Schizosaccharomyces pombe: one gene and its partner. The gene in region 1 interacts genetically with each later gene. Each region holds a gene or a part of one and is shown in the gene's direction. Other genes may lie near its edges. The genes, in order: xrc4 and rga3.

Region 1 (5,931 bases):
CAGTGCCTTAGGGTGCGTTACAGTTCGTAAAGTTGCAGACACTAAGTGCAGTACAACTTTGTAAAGTGCCAAGCTGCAAACGAAAACACAATTTTAGCATGGAACAAAAAGTGAGTGCGGATGTGTTATTGAATAAATATCAAACATCCATAAGCATCACAAAAAACTTAATCAATTCGTGGTTGGGAAACGAAAATACATCTGTCAGTAGCGATGAAAAAAATGACGATCCACCGTTACAAGCTAGGCCGCCACGGTTAGGGTTGGGTGCTAGTAGAAAAGACCAGTCAGAAAACAGCTGGGTTACTTCCAAAAATGAGAAATTGAAAAGCCTGCCACCGGCATTAAAGAAGAAGATTGAAAGACAGTTGCAGAAGAAGAAGGAAGCTGAAAAAATTGAAGGCGGCAAAAACCACGACAATTTAAAGCGAAAATTGAATAAAGTAGGCGATGAATTGAACGAGCAACAGTCTGATACTGATGATGATGATGATGATTCAAAGGCTCGCATTACTAGCCGATCGAAAAGAGCTAACGCCCAAAGTTCTGGCTTTGATATTTATAAAAAACTTGGGAAGAAAAAAAGGTGAACTTGAAAGAAAAGACATACATAAAATATTTGCATAAAAGGTTTGACTTCTGATTCATTTTGATCAAGAGATTAGCCTCAAGGAAATGGACATCCTATGAACCCATAAATAAGCAGCACTGGAGTATTTATGGCATTGCTATTGGTTGACGTGCATGAAGTTGAATCGAAATTTATTTTTCTGTGAAAAAATTTACGATCCTTAATCACATTTAGTGTTTACATTGGATGGGTCTTAATTTGGGTGCCGTGTTTACCTCTTTTCAATCAGGAGGGTTTTTTTTTTGTTTAGTCGGTATGTTAAGTAAATAAATTTTAGATAGGGACAGTTGGTAATATGAAAAGGCACACCTATTTTTTATGAATCAAGCTCAAGCGATTCAATTTTGTAGTGAAAGACTGACTGCACTATTATAATTTAATAGTGGCATCTAACCAAGGAATGTGAATGCTTTCCTTACCCGCTAGCCACCGAATCCATGAAAGTCGAACCAACCTGTAGCCGGCTTCTTTTAATTCCGTAGGGAATGCTTTTGTGTCGAAAATATTTCGATTGAATGAAAAAAAGGTTGAATCACTCCACAGAGTGCGTGTATTAATCAACAATCCCAGTATAATCATGCAATATGGACTGAAGCCTGTTAGTCAAAATCTCGTATGGAATGGACGGCTTGTTTATCAAACTGGTTGTTGAACTTACCATGGATATTTCCGAGCAATCATGGACAGCATAAAGATCGGATAGAAGAAGTATGGAGCAGCATTAGCTACTAAAAGCATTGGAATAAAATATCGTAAACATAGCATTTTGTACCAAGTTTGGTAAAGCAACAAGTTTTTGAAGGATGTAATTTTACACTATTAACGCCATTTGGTCACGTAACAATCCATTAAGACGATATGCCGTTTTGTGAAACCGAAGCGATAACTCGGAATTCAAAGATTTCGTAAGCGCTAAATATCGTTAATTAGATAAAAGTTGTAGATCCAGCGATCCTTTGGTATTGCAATGTTCAGTATTGTTTACAACTTCAGAAGCATATAAAAACTCTTTCGACTTAGATTACAATTAAGATTTCAAAACTTTTATAAATTACTGCAAGTTGATTGACGCACTGGTTGGGTTGACATTGATTGAGTGAATTGACAAGCTTCACCATCGATATCCGTCACACATACTTGGGTCATATAAAGTGTTTATTGCATATAGTATTTAAAAATTTCATTTAAAACTTCAACTGGTTCATCTTTTTACATACGCCTTGTATATCCATATTGTAAAGTCAGTTTACTAGTTGAATCAATAACGCATTCTAGTGCACTTAAAACACATTTGCTAAATAGAGAAAAAAGATTAAATATGCTGAATTTTTTGACGAGCTTGGGTTTAGATTTACTAAAAAAACAGGATTAGCTTTTCTTTAAACTCTACCATTTGATTTGTTTTTGCGGTTAATTGATTTTCAAGTCGCTTTAGGAAGAAAATATGGTTTACGGACTCAGTCTTCGCAATCAATTTTAGGTTGTTTCGGTGTATCTTATATATTTTTTTTACGATCATTAATGTTTATTCGTAAGGTTGCAATGTACCTAATAACCAGTGGTCTCTGTGCAAAGCTCTAAAGCCTTGACAGAGCATAAACCTTTACATTTATGTAAAAACCTCAGTTTTATATCTCGATGTAGTTTTGAATCTCGAAGAGAAAAAATGATATTATAAACAAGGCCTTGTTAACCAACACATATTGATGAAAGCATTTTTTTTGAAATCACCTTAGTTTAATTGACTTTAAAAAACTTTCAATAACTTGTAGTAGTCATCATCTAATTGCATTGCGAATTTCTTCTTGCTAACTACTTTAATTTGAAATTCTTTTTTTTTAACAAACATGGTATAAACATTTGCGCTGATTCTTATCCAATATTCTCGTATGGAAACCTCTTATATTATACTAAACGATTTGTTATATCACCGAATCAGCAATTTTTCAATCAGAAAGATTCTTTTCTTTCAATGAAAAAAATCTAAAAAAAAAACAATTTTCAAGATAGTGTTTCTTAGTAACCTAAAATTTTAAACTCATTCGGCTTCCAATTTATCAGCTGCGCACACTAAAACATTAGCAGTCAACAAGTTGGATTATCAAGTTTCTTATTACGTTTCCCTGCAAACTTGCACTGAGACCGCCTTGATGTTTCACATCAAATTTTGAGCTCAGGAAACAACTCATGAAATTTTTTTTATCACTGAAAGATTTTAAAGGAGAAAAATTCGTCCTACGCTCAGAATTGGATGAAAGCAGTGCTTTCTTGTGCGCAATTAGCCCAACCTGTAGATACGTCTTAAGGGGTATAGAAAGATAGTGTGTAAAACGTTCTTTTACTAATTTTCCAGATGAAATACCTTGGAAACGATTGCAACGGAACGTAACCTCAGAATCATTAACCGATGAACTTATCGTGGATCTGTTGTGCGGCAGATCCGAATCAAAGCACACATTGCAATTAGTGGTTTTAGAGAATTTATGTAGGGTATGTTTATTGCAATACTGTAGTAGTTAATGAATTGCTGATTGTGTGATGACTTTCAAACCAAGGAATTTTTTTGTTCGTCGCATCTACCCCATTTTGCCAGTCGTTTTTGAGCTGATTAATTAAATATGCTAACAATTTAGATTTATATCAACTACGTTGATCCTTTCCCTTTACGTATTGCCTGGTTTGAATTAGAACAACAAGCATTGAAAGACCATGAACATTTTGATGTACTGTGGGAGTGCAGCCATTCGATAAAGGTATGAAAAAAACTTTACATTCTTTCTCTTTTGCTGATTATTTGAAATTTAGGACCTTGCCCTTGCTAGTATGGCTCAACAAAAAAACGAGCTTCAAAAGCTTATGGCTTATACAGAGCAACTTCAAGAAGAATGTAAGTCTAGGGAACGAAAGCTTATAATGAAATTTGCAGATATGATTAAAAATGCAAGAAATAACGAGGATAATGAAGACAACCACCATATTAATTATGAGGATGAATCTGATGTCGGGACAGACGAGCAAAAGCAGCAAGAGGGAGTCAATTCTTCCGCAGTCTCTGATACTGACGAATCTGCAGTTTCTGATGAATTTATGCAGATAAAAGAAGAATTTCCAATGAAAGCATTGAGCGCTTCACCAACTGCAGACGCTTCTCCCGAGTCAGCAGGTGAAGATGATTCACATAGGCGATCGTCCCACGAAAGTAGCGAAACAGTTTCTGAGTAGCTTCGGAAGGAATGATAATATGATACATTACGCTTCAAGTTAAACTACCCGAAATGCCTCTCCATTCTTACACTTTTTTCAGTATTCAGGTCAACTTTATTCTCTTTAATTTCAAAACAATAATAAATTTACTTAAATTTAAATATTCACACGGAATCCTACTATAGGTAAAGCACTTGCAAGATAAATACAATATGTATAGTTGGTGAATTTTTATAAAGATGTCTTATAAGCCTAGCACTTCCTTCCTGTACAAAAGAATGAAGCATGTTTGCGATCGTGTTTACCATGCTATTATTTTCTGATCCACTTTTTCTTCAGCAAATTTACTATTTACATATATAATTTGTTACTCAAGGTTGGGCGCGTTCTGAAGTAACGTGTTTATTACTTGTCGACAATACGCTTCATAATTTCACCAAAATCCTATAACCAAGCCTGTTGTAATTTTATACTGGGATTTAGGCTTGAATATTCTTTTTTGACGGCATTTAGCAATTTTTGGCTTTGGATAAATGAATGCTTAGCTGTGTGGGCAAACGGGTTTTCGCTATTGGAAACGCAGTTACTAATTTGAATTTGCTAACATTCATACTGTTTTTAAATTAAATGCTGTGAAGATTTCTTTTCTTAAACTTTTCATATCTTTTCGAGTTACATGCTATCGGTAATTGCGCTAATTGACGCGAATTCTTAATATAATAGGCATTATTTGTTGTCTTCTAATCGAAATCTTTTAATTCCATAGCATATCTCTTTTTTAAGTAAATACTTTTATTTGAATAGTTTATACAGCGCATGCGATGAGCAACGACAGCAGTGATAATCAAATTCGTCGTCGGCATCATCCAGTACTGCCTAAGGGTTCCTTTCAGAAAAAGGACGATTCTATCGTCTTAGAACAGGAATTATCTACTCCAAAACAAGTCAACCAAGCCCGTCCAAAGTTTCCATCTCCAATTACTCCTACTCTTCCTGAAATGCATCTTCCCGTAGGGAATTCAAAATTCCAAGCGGTATTGCCAAGCTTGATAAGCCCTACGCTTCCTCCTGGGTTTGGAATGGCAAGCGATGACTCTGAAGCATCGTTAGCAGAGAACGATTTACATCCCTTGGATAACGATTCTACACGTACTAGCAAAACGCTTAAAAATTCATCAGAGGTTTTAACCGCTTCCAAACTTACTGATGAAGGTAATTCTAAACCTTTGTTGGAGGAAGGGGAGGTAGCTGTCAGTTCTCCAATTCTCCTTGATTCAAAAGATGTAATAATGGGAGTCACTAAGAGCTCAAAAAATCTAGTTGAAGATGCTCACAAATCAAAGAAGGCCTCCACGAACAGTTCCATAAATAATATGGTATCTACTGTAAATTCTGAAAATTCTAATGTTAATAATGGATCCTCGTTGAATGGTAACACCAGCAGCAATCTCAAGAGAAAAGCCAATGTAACGTTAGGTGATTATAAGCGCTTAAAAGTAAAAAACAAGAATCCTTCTTCCCAAGAGCTGATCACAGCTGATGTTGACAAAACATCTGGTTCACTGTCTGAAAAGTCGGAAGTAAATCATGCCTCTTTGAAGAAAACGTATATGCGTCTTCTTAACAGTGGGAAAATGCAAAAGAAAGAATGTGATAAGAAAGGAAAATTTTTCGAAGCGTACGCTGTAGATGCTGTTTTATGTTACACAGTTGCTTTTCACCTACAGAATCTTTCCAATCTTTCGAGAAACCATCCCGCTACTACGAGTAACTGGAGAACCCTCCCTGCGTATATTCAGTTTCTCATAAAAGAAGAGGATAAACTGGATCCTTGTATTCAAGGACTATTTTTTCTTTTACTCGGGATTGCATTTCGTGAAATTTTTCATATCGAGGTTATGAGGATACGACACTCACAATTGAATCTTATGAGAGACATAAAAGAAAGCTCAAGTGGATTAACATCTGCCAAGTCCCTCGGTGATGCACAGAATTTATGTGAGAATGCGGTGCGCCTTTACTCTTCGTATAAACATTACATTACATCTATGAAGAAGGGAAGTTCGTTGTTGACAATTGAATATATCTCATCTACT
Region 2 (10,016 bases), 1.8 Mb from region 1:
ATTCGTTTTTCAGGTTGAGAATTTTTGGAAGTTAACAAACTACTTTACAAGAGATCATTACATATACGGAGTTTTTCTTGGTCTGATATATGCATTTCAGCCTTTTTCAATTTTTTGTTCACAGTTTTGATTAAGGTGTTTGTACATGCGCAAAAAATTTGTACTCAATAAGCGGTAAGCTAGATTTTAGCACGATTTATATTTTTTTATTATGTTTAAAACCCGTAAATTTTAGAGATACTCTACATTTATATATTCCTTTGGATTTTAGTATATTAGCGAAATTCACTAGAATACCGAGTTTGATCTTTGTCAGAACACAAACCACGTCTGGTAATGTGGTAAACAAAAAAATATTAAAAAGAAGACTGCAACAGCTTTTATTTCATTAGCGTTGATCATGTTCTCAATAATAACATGTCTTCTTCAATAAACGGATTAAATGAGAGTGAAGGGTCAACGCCTTTAAGCACTGCATCTATCATTGGCTCAAGTGAGCAATTGTACATGACTCATGATGAACGATACCTAGACGTCCTTCAACAATACGAAGTTGAGACTGAAAATAAGCGTGACTTTGATTTGGAAGAAGAACAATGGGGCGTTCTTAGTGGCTCTTGTGTGGATGGAACTTACTGGAGTGCAGAAGAAAAAGAACTGTTTTTTCAAGCGGTTGCTCGAAATGGGAAAAGAGATTTAGATTTGATAGCTTACTCCATTCCTTCTAAAAGCGCTGTGCAGATCGAGCGTTACATAAATGCCTTAGAGAATGAGCTACGTTGGCTTCGTAATCACGTAGACGCATCCGTGCGCAGTCAATGTTTGTTGAAATATGAAGATATACCTATTGCAATGGAAATGAGTCAGAATTGGATTGATTGGGAAGAAAAAATTGCGGAAAGACTTCTTGAGGGTTCGAATATCTCAGGGGTTGAAACTTCACACTATAATGCGCAAAGTGTCAAAAACAAAACCTCAAATGAGGATTTATTTGATACAAATGAGATGAGAAAGATTTCTGAACGGTTTTATCATTTCGATCGACAAGCGCCTTTTCCAAGCAATCCACTTTCTGCTGGCGCTACGGAGTTTTTATTACAAATCATTAAAAGCAAGTTGAAGGAATTAATCGGAACATCTATATTTTTGGCGGAGTCTAGGTTTAGGAAACTAGAGGCTAACAATGCCTTTCATAGAAAACCTATTATCAAGAATAGAGACGTTGTTCTGTCAGGCAAATTTTTACGATTTCACCGATTCAATATACCCGGATTTTGGAAGTATTTACCCACTAGACAAAAGATGAATGTTTACAAAAGAAACAAACGTCTCAAATTTCAAAATTATATACACATAATGGAATCTGATGAAAGACAATCAAAACTGAAATTAGGACGAGTCAGAGCACGGAAGACAAAAAATAACGAAAACACCATGTTTTTTGATTCTAAGGAACATTCGACAGATGAAAGCGATGGTAACCTTGGAGAACATGATGTAAAGCGCAAGGTAGATTCTGTACCCGCCGATGAGACTAGCATCAATGGTTTTAAGAAATCTGTTAATCAGGCTGAGTATCCTGATAATGCTCAAATGTTCATGGATGAAAGTGTCGCAGAAGAAAGTCTTGTGGAAATTGATGACAGCGTCGAAGCCTACGACATGATTCAATCCAAAAACTACGAAAGCTTTGTTTGGAAATATGTGCTGCATTTAACCGATGAGATGTCGACAGAGGACGCTCTTTTTGAAACTATACCACTTAGTAATTTGCTGGCTCAAAAGCGAATGAAAGACAAGTTAAAAGGTTCCGACGTGTTTACGACTCTTAAAATAACTTCCAAGAGCTTGCACAACATTGACGAACATTCCGATAGTGATGATGAAGTTCAACCTATATGTTATTATTACAAGGATCCAGTTGTTTCCCATGCCCCGGGTGCAGCTGAAGTCGTATCTGAACTTGAAAGCGGATATGTAGGGTTAATATCCTATGATTTGTCTAATCTTCCAAATAGTACAGAAGATCCTGAAAGGAAACTTGCAAAACCTGTCTCTTCTTGGGAGTTGTCACTCCCTTTAAAATAGATGTCTTCATTTTCGAACTACAGTCTTGAAGCCTTTACAAAAACATAAATTGTTTTTTAGCGCTGCCTCTGTGTTGGATAGCAATCCTTTCTTTTTATCGTCATTTTCTGCCAAGTTTGTTTTTTCCTAGAAAGAAAATTTAATACTTCCTCTTTATAGCAATCAGTTATTGCCATTTATAATGATGAGTCCCAGTGTTCACAATATTCTGAAACTTTTTTTGTTAAAAACTGATTGCTTTCTTCCGTATAATTGTCCCAATATTCGCACCACAACTATAAAAATTTTTTTTAGGAGCCTTTACTTCCTTCTTAAAAGCAATAGTTACTTAATCAATTATAGCGACCCCGCTATTTGAGATACACATTTTATAAATTCTACACTTTTTGGAAACGAGCATTTTCTCTTGTCCCTTTATTTGACGATCCGACCGTTCACGCTACAAACGTCTACAAAATTTTTTTCTCTAGAAAGCATCTCTCCTTCTGTTTACTCCTGTTGCTACCGAAATTTTTTCTTTTTTTTTGTCCTCTGTGTTTTTTGATCAGGAATGTATATATCTTTAACCATTTTTTAGCGGGTTTTTTCTAAAGGTAAAGCTATTTAAGCCAGAAAAACAGTTCATTTTCCTTTTTCCTTCTAATTTCGGCAATTTCCCTTTTCACAAATATCACCATTTTTGAGTGGAAAGAAAAGCCTAGAGAGCGGAAACGCTGCCAAACCCATTAAAATTAATTATCTGTAATATTATAATCGTATTTAATAGCTATTCATAACACCCGTTTCGTCTAAACTCCCGTAATAAACCATGTGACTTTTGGCAATTTTACGCACCATATCGTAGAACACGGCGATAATTTCCATAGTGTTTCGCTAGGCTAGGGCAAGGCAAGCCAAAGACCATAGTGCCATGTGTACGACGCATGCAAATTTTAAGGGATTAGAGTGAACGACTCGCTACTGCCGTTCTCACCGCTCCACTGGGCAATGATGCCAACAACTGCAGTAATAATTATTCCTTAGCCATTTACCAATTGTTTCGAACTTCAATCATAAAATTGGGAATATTTTCATTTACTTGATGGGAAGCTGAGGAATGAAAATAGGTACCCAAAGGAATCGTTGTGAAAATAAAAATCAACAAAGCCAAATTCATGACGCTAGATTGAAGTTCATAACGTTTAGCAGGAAATAAGAAGAGCATATATACGATAAGATGATATTTCGAAAAAGTATTTCCAAATCTCCATCAAGCAAGGGAAGCACAGTATGCTTTCGCTGCGGACAGGCATTTCAACGTAGAGAGACACCTATTTCGTTTGGGGGTCATATGTGGCATAAGGATTGCTTCTGCTGTACGAAGTGCGATAAAGGATTGGAGCACAGTGATCAAATGCTGGTGCAAACCTCTGATGGACGACCGGTGTGTAGCTCTTGCGCCCATACCTGTACAGCGTGTCGTATGAGGATCAAGGACTATGCCCTAATGTCAGGCTACGACTCCTATCACAGAGAGTGTTTTCGTTGCCATGATTGCCGAAAGCAAATAATTGACTCTAACTTTAAAAGAGATAATAGGACTATATTTTGTAATGATTGTAAACAAGTCCGTCACCCTTCCAGGTCTTCAGACGAGAGCGCTGATTATCACAATTTTGAGGTTGATGTCACGATTAAGCCCACAGAGACAAAGTCTTCAGTGGAATCTAATAAGTCTTTAAGCATTGAAATTATGTCTCCTCAAAAGCCACCATTATCACCTTTTGGTGGAAGCAGAGACCGCTTAGTTAGCGAAACACCGACTAACATGAGTCAGGCAGAAGGGGGTAATGTGCCGAACGATGGACAGGATAGTAATCTTGCGTCTAATTCTGCAGATTCGCTGCTGCCTAGTGCCAAAAATCGAAGTTTTTCCTCGTTTACGAGTTTTGAATCGCCGATGAAGTATGACGATTCTTTCTTTCCTATTTCACCTTCTATATCTCCGTTACAAAAAGTTAACAAGCAGCAACAAATTGAGTCTCCTACAGCCACATTTCCGTTAAGCAAAAATACTTGGAAGAATCGATTCCATACGTTTCACAAACAATCTTTTACTCCTGTTAACGATAGCTCTTCCTCGGACAGCTTAAAACCCACAATTAATGAGGAAGCCCTGGACGACTTTGCTGGCTCTGCTTCTCCTTATAAAACCATGTCATTGACTGACCGAGCAGAGCCAATTGTCATGAATGGACATATGCGTTCTCTTCACAATGCCACCTCTCCCTTTCGGCCTTTTTCTCCCTCTTACAGGTCGAGTGATACGCATTCACCGAGAACCCGCTCACCGAATGTCCAAACCCATAAAAAAACCTCTTCTCAGCCATCTGACCTTTCATCTTTTGCGCAGCTACTTTCACCGCCTCAGGTTCTTTCTCCCAAACCAAATGGCGGGGGCCATAAAAGTTTTCGGCATTCGCATTCTCTTTCTGAGACTTCTCAGCAAACACTCGTTCCTTCGCTGGGATCTAATGGAGAGTACCATTTACCGACAAACGATCATTCTTCAACTCCAGCACAATCAGAGCGAGATTCGGATGTTGAAGAATTGCGTGAACAGTTGGAAAATCTTACTGCTCTTACCAAAAAATTGTCCGAAAGGCTCTCAAGTTCTACGTTTGACAACTCTAAGTTTATTCGTACGGAAGATAAGGATACTGTTCGTTCGGCTAAACTTGAAATTTGTGAAAAGTTTTTTTCGTTTGCTGATGTGACAGATGATCCCACGCTGAAAGATCCGAAACATCAGGATTTGGTGGCTGCCGCCAATGCTTACATGGCAATGCTTCGTGAGAGTTACGGCACTGAAATAAACAATCTTTTGGAAAGGAGAAATGAGCTGCTTGACGATTACAATAATGTACAAAAAATTTTAAATGAATCGCTTGAAGCATCTGTACACCTAAATACCAAAAATCTCGAGTTGGCCGACTTAAACAACAATTTGGTAAAACAAATTCAGCATAGAGTACCTCCTGAAAACCAATCCAATTTGGAGCATACTATTACCACATCTTCCAAAAATACAACCAGCAGTATTAATCCACTTACTGCCGTGAGTAGCAACTCTGGGCAGTCATCAGGTCGACCTGGTCCGTTGTCACCAAATTTGAATGTGACTACGAGAATTGACATTAAGGGAAAAAAGGGAAGTATGCATTTGCAACCAAGAGATGTAAACCGTAAAGTCCCGTTCAAATCAATGCATACTAAATCAAAGTCTGCCGATCCTGTAGTAGGAAATGAAGATCGTACTCAATGTGACCATGTGTTTCATGTTAATGCCATATTCAAGCCCTCAAGGTGTTATATATGCTCGGAGAGCGTATGGGGATCTGAACTCCGCTGCTTTCATTGCTCAATTTCATGCCATTCGCGGTGTTTAAAAAGGCTGTTTGCAGAGTCGGAGCATGAGAAAACAATGAGTGAAACTGTAAGTGAAAATAGTAAATGGATGCCGGAAATGCCAACGAGGATGCCTCCTCCTGGGCCTTCACCAACGATGTTTGGACGATCGTTAGAAAATCAATTGAAAATTGAAGGGTCGGTTTTGCCTCAAGTAATTGCTATGTGCGTTTCTTGCGTGGATGCGCATGGATTGGAGGTTGAAGGTATTTATAGGATATCTGGCAGTGCTTCTCAGGTCCGAGTGTTAGTCGACGAATTTGAAAACGGGTCTATCCGAATGGAGCATTTGACTTCTGACTTGTTTGCCTGTACGTCGGTTTTGAAAACATATTTGCATCGCTTACCGGAACCAGTTATACCTGGCACTCAATACGAGGAGTTGTTGGAAGCGGAAAAAATCGAAAAGGAAGAGGAAAAAATTGAACGGGTAGTGGAAGTAATGAAAACGCTTCATCCTGCACATTTGAGCGTATTTCGATTTTTGATTGCACATTTGGGTCGTGTATGCAAGCACGCGGAGAAAAATTTGATGAACTCGAAAAATGTCTCTACAGTATTTGCACCTACTTTAATGCGAGATAAGGTGAATCGGTTTGATTTACAGCATGCTACCAAAAAGAGTACGGCTCTTCAGTTTATGCTTGATAACGTGGATAAGATTCTTCATAATCTGTAGCTTGTTTTATGAATAATGATTAAAATATCGGGGAACTTGTATTTTTCTAGGGAAGAAGGAACTTTACGATAATAATAACCACTTGTGTTCCAAACTTCAATAAGGAATACTTTTCGAAGAAATAATGAGACTTTTTTTACACCTCTTTTTTTTAATGAAAAAAGGAAAACAAAGATATTAGCATAACACTCTTACATTTACGACTGAACTATTCAAACTGGGTAATACAGGATGTACATTATGACAAGCAGGCAAGCACACGCACGCTCATCAGATACAAATAAATACGCACGCAAATGGAGATTGTATAAAGATATTTGCCATTAAGCATTGCGAGATGCAAAATAAGGAAAATATAATGCTAATTTGATAAAAAAAAAAGAAAACAAACTCTTTTTAACGATACTAAACAGAACTCAACTCGATTTGGTTCGAGTATTTCGTTTCTCATAACTTGAACATAAACACAACATAAACAACTCATCAAAGACACATACATACACAAACACTACGGTCGTGCCATCATGTCTCGAAATCTCAAAGAATGGTATGGGGAACATGGTGAGGGATGAATGGCAGTGAACGTGAAAGGGGATGGATGGCATAATTAAATGTAATCTGCAACATTGTCAGTCAGGGTATGACTAATCAAAAAATAAAAATTACAAGGGAGTAAGAAAAAAAAAACAAAAGCAATCAAATAGTACTACCTAAAAGGCTTATATCCCTATCAAGATAAGGATCGTTTTGCTCTTCCTCATCAAGTTGTTCCTCGTTATTGTTTGCATTTTTCTTTTGTGTTCCATTAGCGCTCTTGGAGCGTGATTTCTTTCCTCCAAAGATGCTGCCAAGACCGCCAAGAGACGAGAAATTAACACGGCCAGTATGTTGACTGGAACGGTTGCGAGTAGACTCGGACCTGGAGTCATCGTCGCCGATATCTTCCTGAGTGGCATGGTAGCTGGAGCTCTCCATGTCATCCTCCTCTTCCTGGACCAAAGGTCCGGCCTCTGGATATTCATTCATGTATTCGTTGAATGAATGAACGCCCATCGAAGGATGGCGTTGTCTACCGGAGAAGGAGTGTTTGTCAACATGATGACCATGGGTTTCTTGAGTTTGATCACTAGAAGTAAAACGATTTGCCATTGCGGTGGATTTGAAGAAATTCGATTAGTCAATTAGTATTGGATGAAATTCAATTTCAAATTGATTTGGATTTGGATTGGATTGGACTGTCAATAACAATTTTCAACTCAATTGGTTATTGTTTGTTTTGTTATTGTTGTTGTTAGATTGTCAGTGGGTGGGTAATTTAGCTTGACTCGCTGATGATCAATAAGGGTGGATATGAATACGATTCGGTATTTGTTATTACGAAGGATGAAATATATATGTACTGTATTTTGGGAATGGAATTTTCACTCTTAGTGCCCAACCTTCTATTTATCTCCTTGCTGTGGCCAAATGTCATACGTATTGGGTTGCTACATTGAATGTAAGTGTGCCTTACTCGTCCTTTCACCCGCAACTCCATTGTTATCCAGCATCGTCATCCACTGCAATCGTGGCGCCAACCTCTTCACTTCCACCACCCATATAGCATATTTCCGTGAGTGTGTACCTCGGCGAGATCCGTTAAGTGGGTTTACGAAACAGGCCAAGAGGAGGAGGAGGGTTTGGTGATAATGCAATGGAGCACACAAGTAAGCAGGACGAAGTATGATTGATGGATGGATGAAGGAAAAGAAGAGAAAATGGCAGGTTGGTTTAGAAGAGGCTGTTCATCCCGTGGTATCGCAGTCTCAAGTATGGCACGGAAAACAAGCGTCGTTTTAATTGTCCAGGAGAAAAACAAAAAGGAAACAAGACTTTAGAGGGTCAGTCTTTTTTTTATGTCTTTTCTATTTTTGCTTTATGTTGTTGTTTTATATTCTTTCTTTCTTTTTTCTGCCTTCTTGACAATTAATTGATTTCCGCGGCAAGCTTAGTCAGTCTATAATACGGTGTTGTGCATCAGAGATGTTATGGCATTGCGTCATGATCGACACCCTTCCTAATCCCTTTTTTCTCCGCCTTCGCTTCCCCACACTTGGAGTCACAAGGCTGAGTCGATGCTACCTGAAAAGATGGGGTAATGGCATGACGAAAAAGACTGCAGGAAGAGAGGGGTGGGTGAAAGAAAGGGATTCAAACGAGACATCAATAATGGATGGAAGAAATAAAAACATAAAAGAAAAAAGAAAAAAAAAAGAAAGAAAAAGTTAAAGAAGATGAAAATTTTTGTTTGTTTGTCTCAGAACTAAAGTTTTTTTTGCTCAATTTTCTGTTCAATTTCTTTGATTCGCATTTTGTTTTGTTCCACTTTTTCTTTTTTTTTTGTCTTTGTTCCACCATTGGTTTTCTTTATCCATCTCTGTCCATTGTTGGTAATCTTGCTTTATGATTATAGGAGTCCTTTGTTTTCTCTCTCTCTTTTTTTTTTTATTTCTTTGTATGAATTGCCTTTTTTTTGACTAGCGTTCTTTGTCATACATGTCATCTTGAAATAGATGGTTTTGATTGTTTCTTGTTTTCAATAACTTTTTTTTTTTTTTTTCTGCTCTCTTTCTCTTTTCATTTTTTTTTTGGTCAGCGTGAGATACTGGCTTTCATTGAGCTACAATAAATAGTTTTGACTTTTTATTTCTATTTCTATTTCTTCTTTATTTTCCTGCTGTCTTTCTCTTCTCGCATACACAAAAGAGACTCAAACATACACACACACATACTCGGAGAGTTTCTCTCTCTCTCTCTCTCTTTTTTTTAGAGTTTCCTTTTTGCTCACTTGTTTTTCTTTGATCGTCGTTCTTTACGACATCTTTGTATTATAACGAAAATAACCTTTATTTGGACTTTCTTTTTATTCACTGTGGATGAGCTCACTGTGTTGTTCCATGCACAAATTTGTCACTTTCCATGTGAATTTTTCGTGGGGTTGTTGTAAACATTCATGAATTCCTTCGTTTGCTTTTTTTTTAAACAATTTTTAATTTTTATTTACTGTTTCTAATGCTGACATTTATTTGCCTTTTTTATTTCATTGCAAAACATTATATATGTATTCATAGTAAAAACTGAAGTGAAAGTCTATTACAGTCATTTAAATAGATTAGCTCATCTGTATTAAAATTAATAAAAGCATTGCAATTTATATTATAAAGTATGCTTAAAGCATTGTCTCGTGAGAAAGTCCAGTAGGAATTACTTAATTGAGCAGCGCCTTTTCTACTTTACTTTGTATACTATATGTTATTGTTTTACAGTTATCAAAACTTGCTTTTCCTTTCCTGAAATAACTGAGGTCAGTAAATTTAATGCTTCCAAACATCTTCCTTTGTATCCTCTTTTCAGTACATTCATTTATGAAGAAAGTTGTAATTACTGCAGTAAAAGGTGTTTCCCAAATTACAATTCCCACACTCGTGCTTTATTTTGCTAATTCACTTAGCACTCATACTTAGAAATCGTTATTTTGAAAGTACCATTGTAGAACTTAATAACACCACTATAATGGACTATCTAAACGTTGTGTAATTTTTACATTCGTTCGTCCTATGTTCAGTAAAAAATCTTTGCATCATTGACTTGGAAAATGAAAAGCTCATCCATGCTTCTCTTCCCTTTCTCATAGACTCTTGTTTGCCCTTTCCATTATTTTTAAATGTTTATTTATTAAATAGTGATCACTAGTGAATGTCAATAATAAGGAGTTGCATGATTTTCATCCCTATATTGTTTCCAGTAACGATGGATTGATTGT

Evidence for each region.
Region 2: mutations in xrc4 (region 1) and rga3 together harm fitness more than expected from each alone (negative genetic interaction), as found in Schizosaccharomyces pombe (one large-scale study listed by BioGRID).

What each region holds. Positions count from the first base shown.
Region 1 is NC_003424.3:3,276,873-3,282,803, reverse strand, and holds xrc4 (protein Xrc4), read left to right. Parts: upstream 1-2,764; 5' UTR 2,765-2,818; coding exon 2,819-2,939; exon of another isoform or gene 2,940-2,984; coding exon 2,985-3,121; exon of another isoform or gene 3,122-3,264; coding exon 3,265-3,384; exon of another isoform or gene 3,385-3,436; coding exon 3,437-3,853; 3' UTR 3,854-3,967; downstream 3,968-5,931. Other genes in the region: SPOM_SPAPB1E7.01C (uncharacterized protein), read left to right, coding at 99-590; SPOM_SPAC652.01 (BC10 family protein ), read right to left, coding at 1,001-1,220, 1,290-1,396; protein Ebp1, read left to right, coding at 4,657-5,931. UniProt on the Schizosaccharomyces pombe protein: Involved in double-strand break repair via non-homologous end joining (NHEJ); the repair of a double-strand break in DNA in which the two broken ends are rejoined with little or no sequence complementarity.
Region 2 is NC_003424.3:5,122,127-5,132,142, reverse strand, and holds rga3 (Rho-type GTPase-activating protein Rga3), read left to right. Parts: upstream 1-3,109; 5' UTR 3,110-3,304; coding exon 3,305-6,214; 3' UTR 6,215-6,910; coding exon of another isoform or gene 6,911-7,363; 3' UTR 7,364-7,529; coding exon of another isoform or gene 7,530-7,751; 3' UTR 7,752-8,815; downstream 8,816-10,016. Other genes in the region: RNA polymerase I upstream activation factor complex subunit Rrn5, read left to right, coding at 418-2,088; protein mug108, read right to left, coding at 6,911-7,363; SPOM_SPAC29A4.22 (uncharacterized protein), read right to left, coding at 7,530-7,751. UniProt on the Schizosaccharomyces pombe protein: GTPase-activating protein for Rho-type proteins.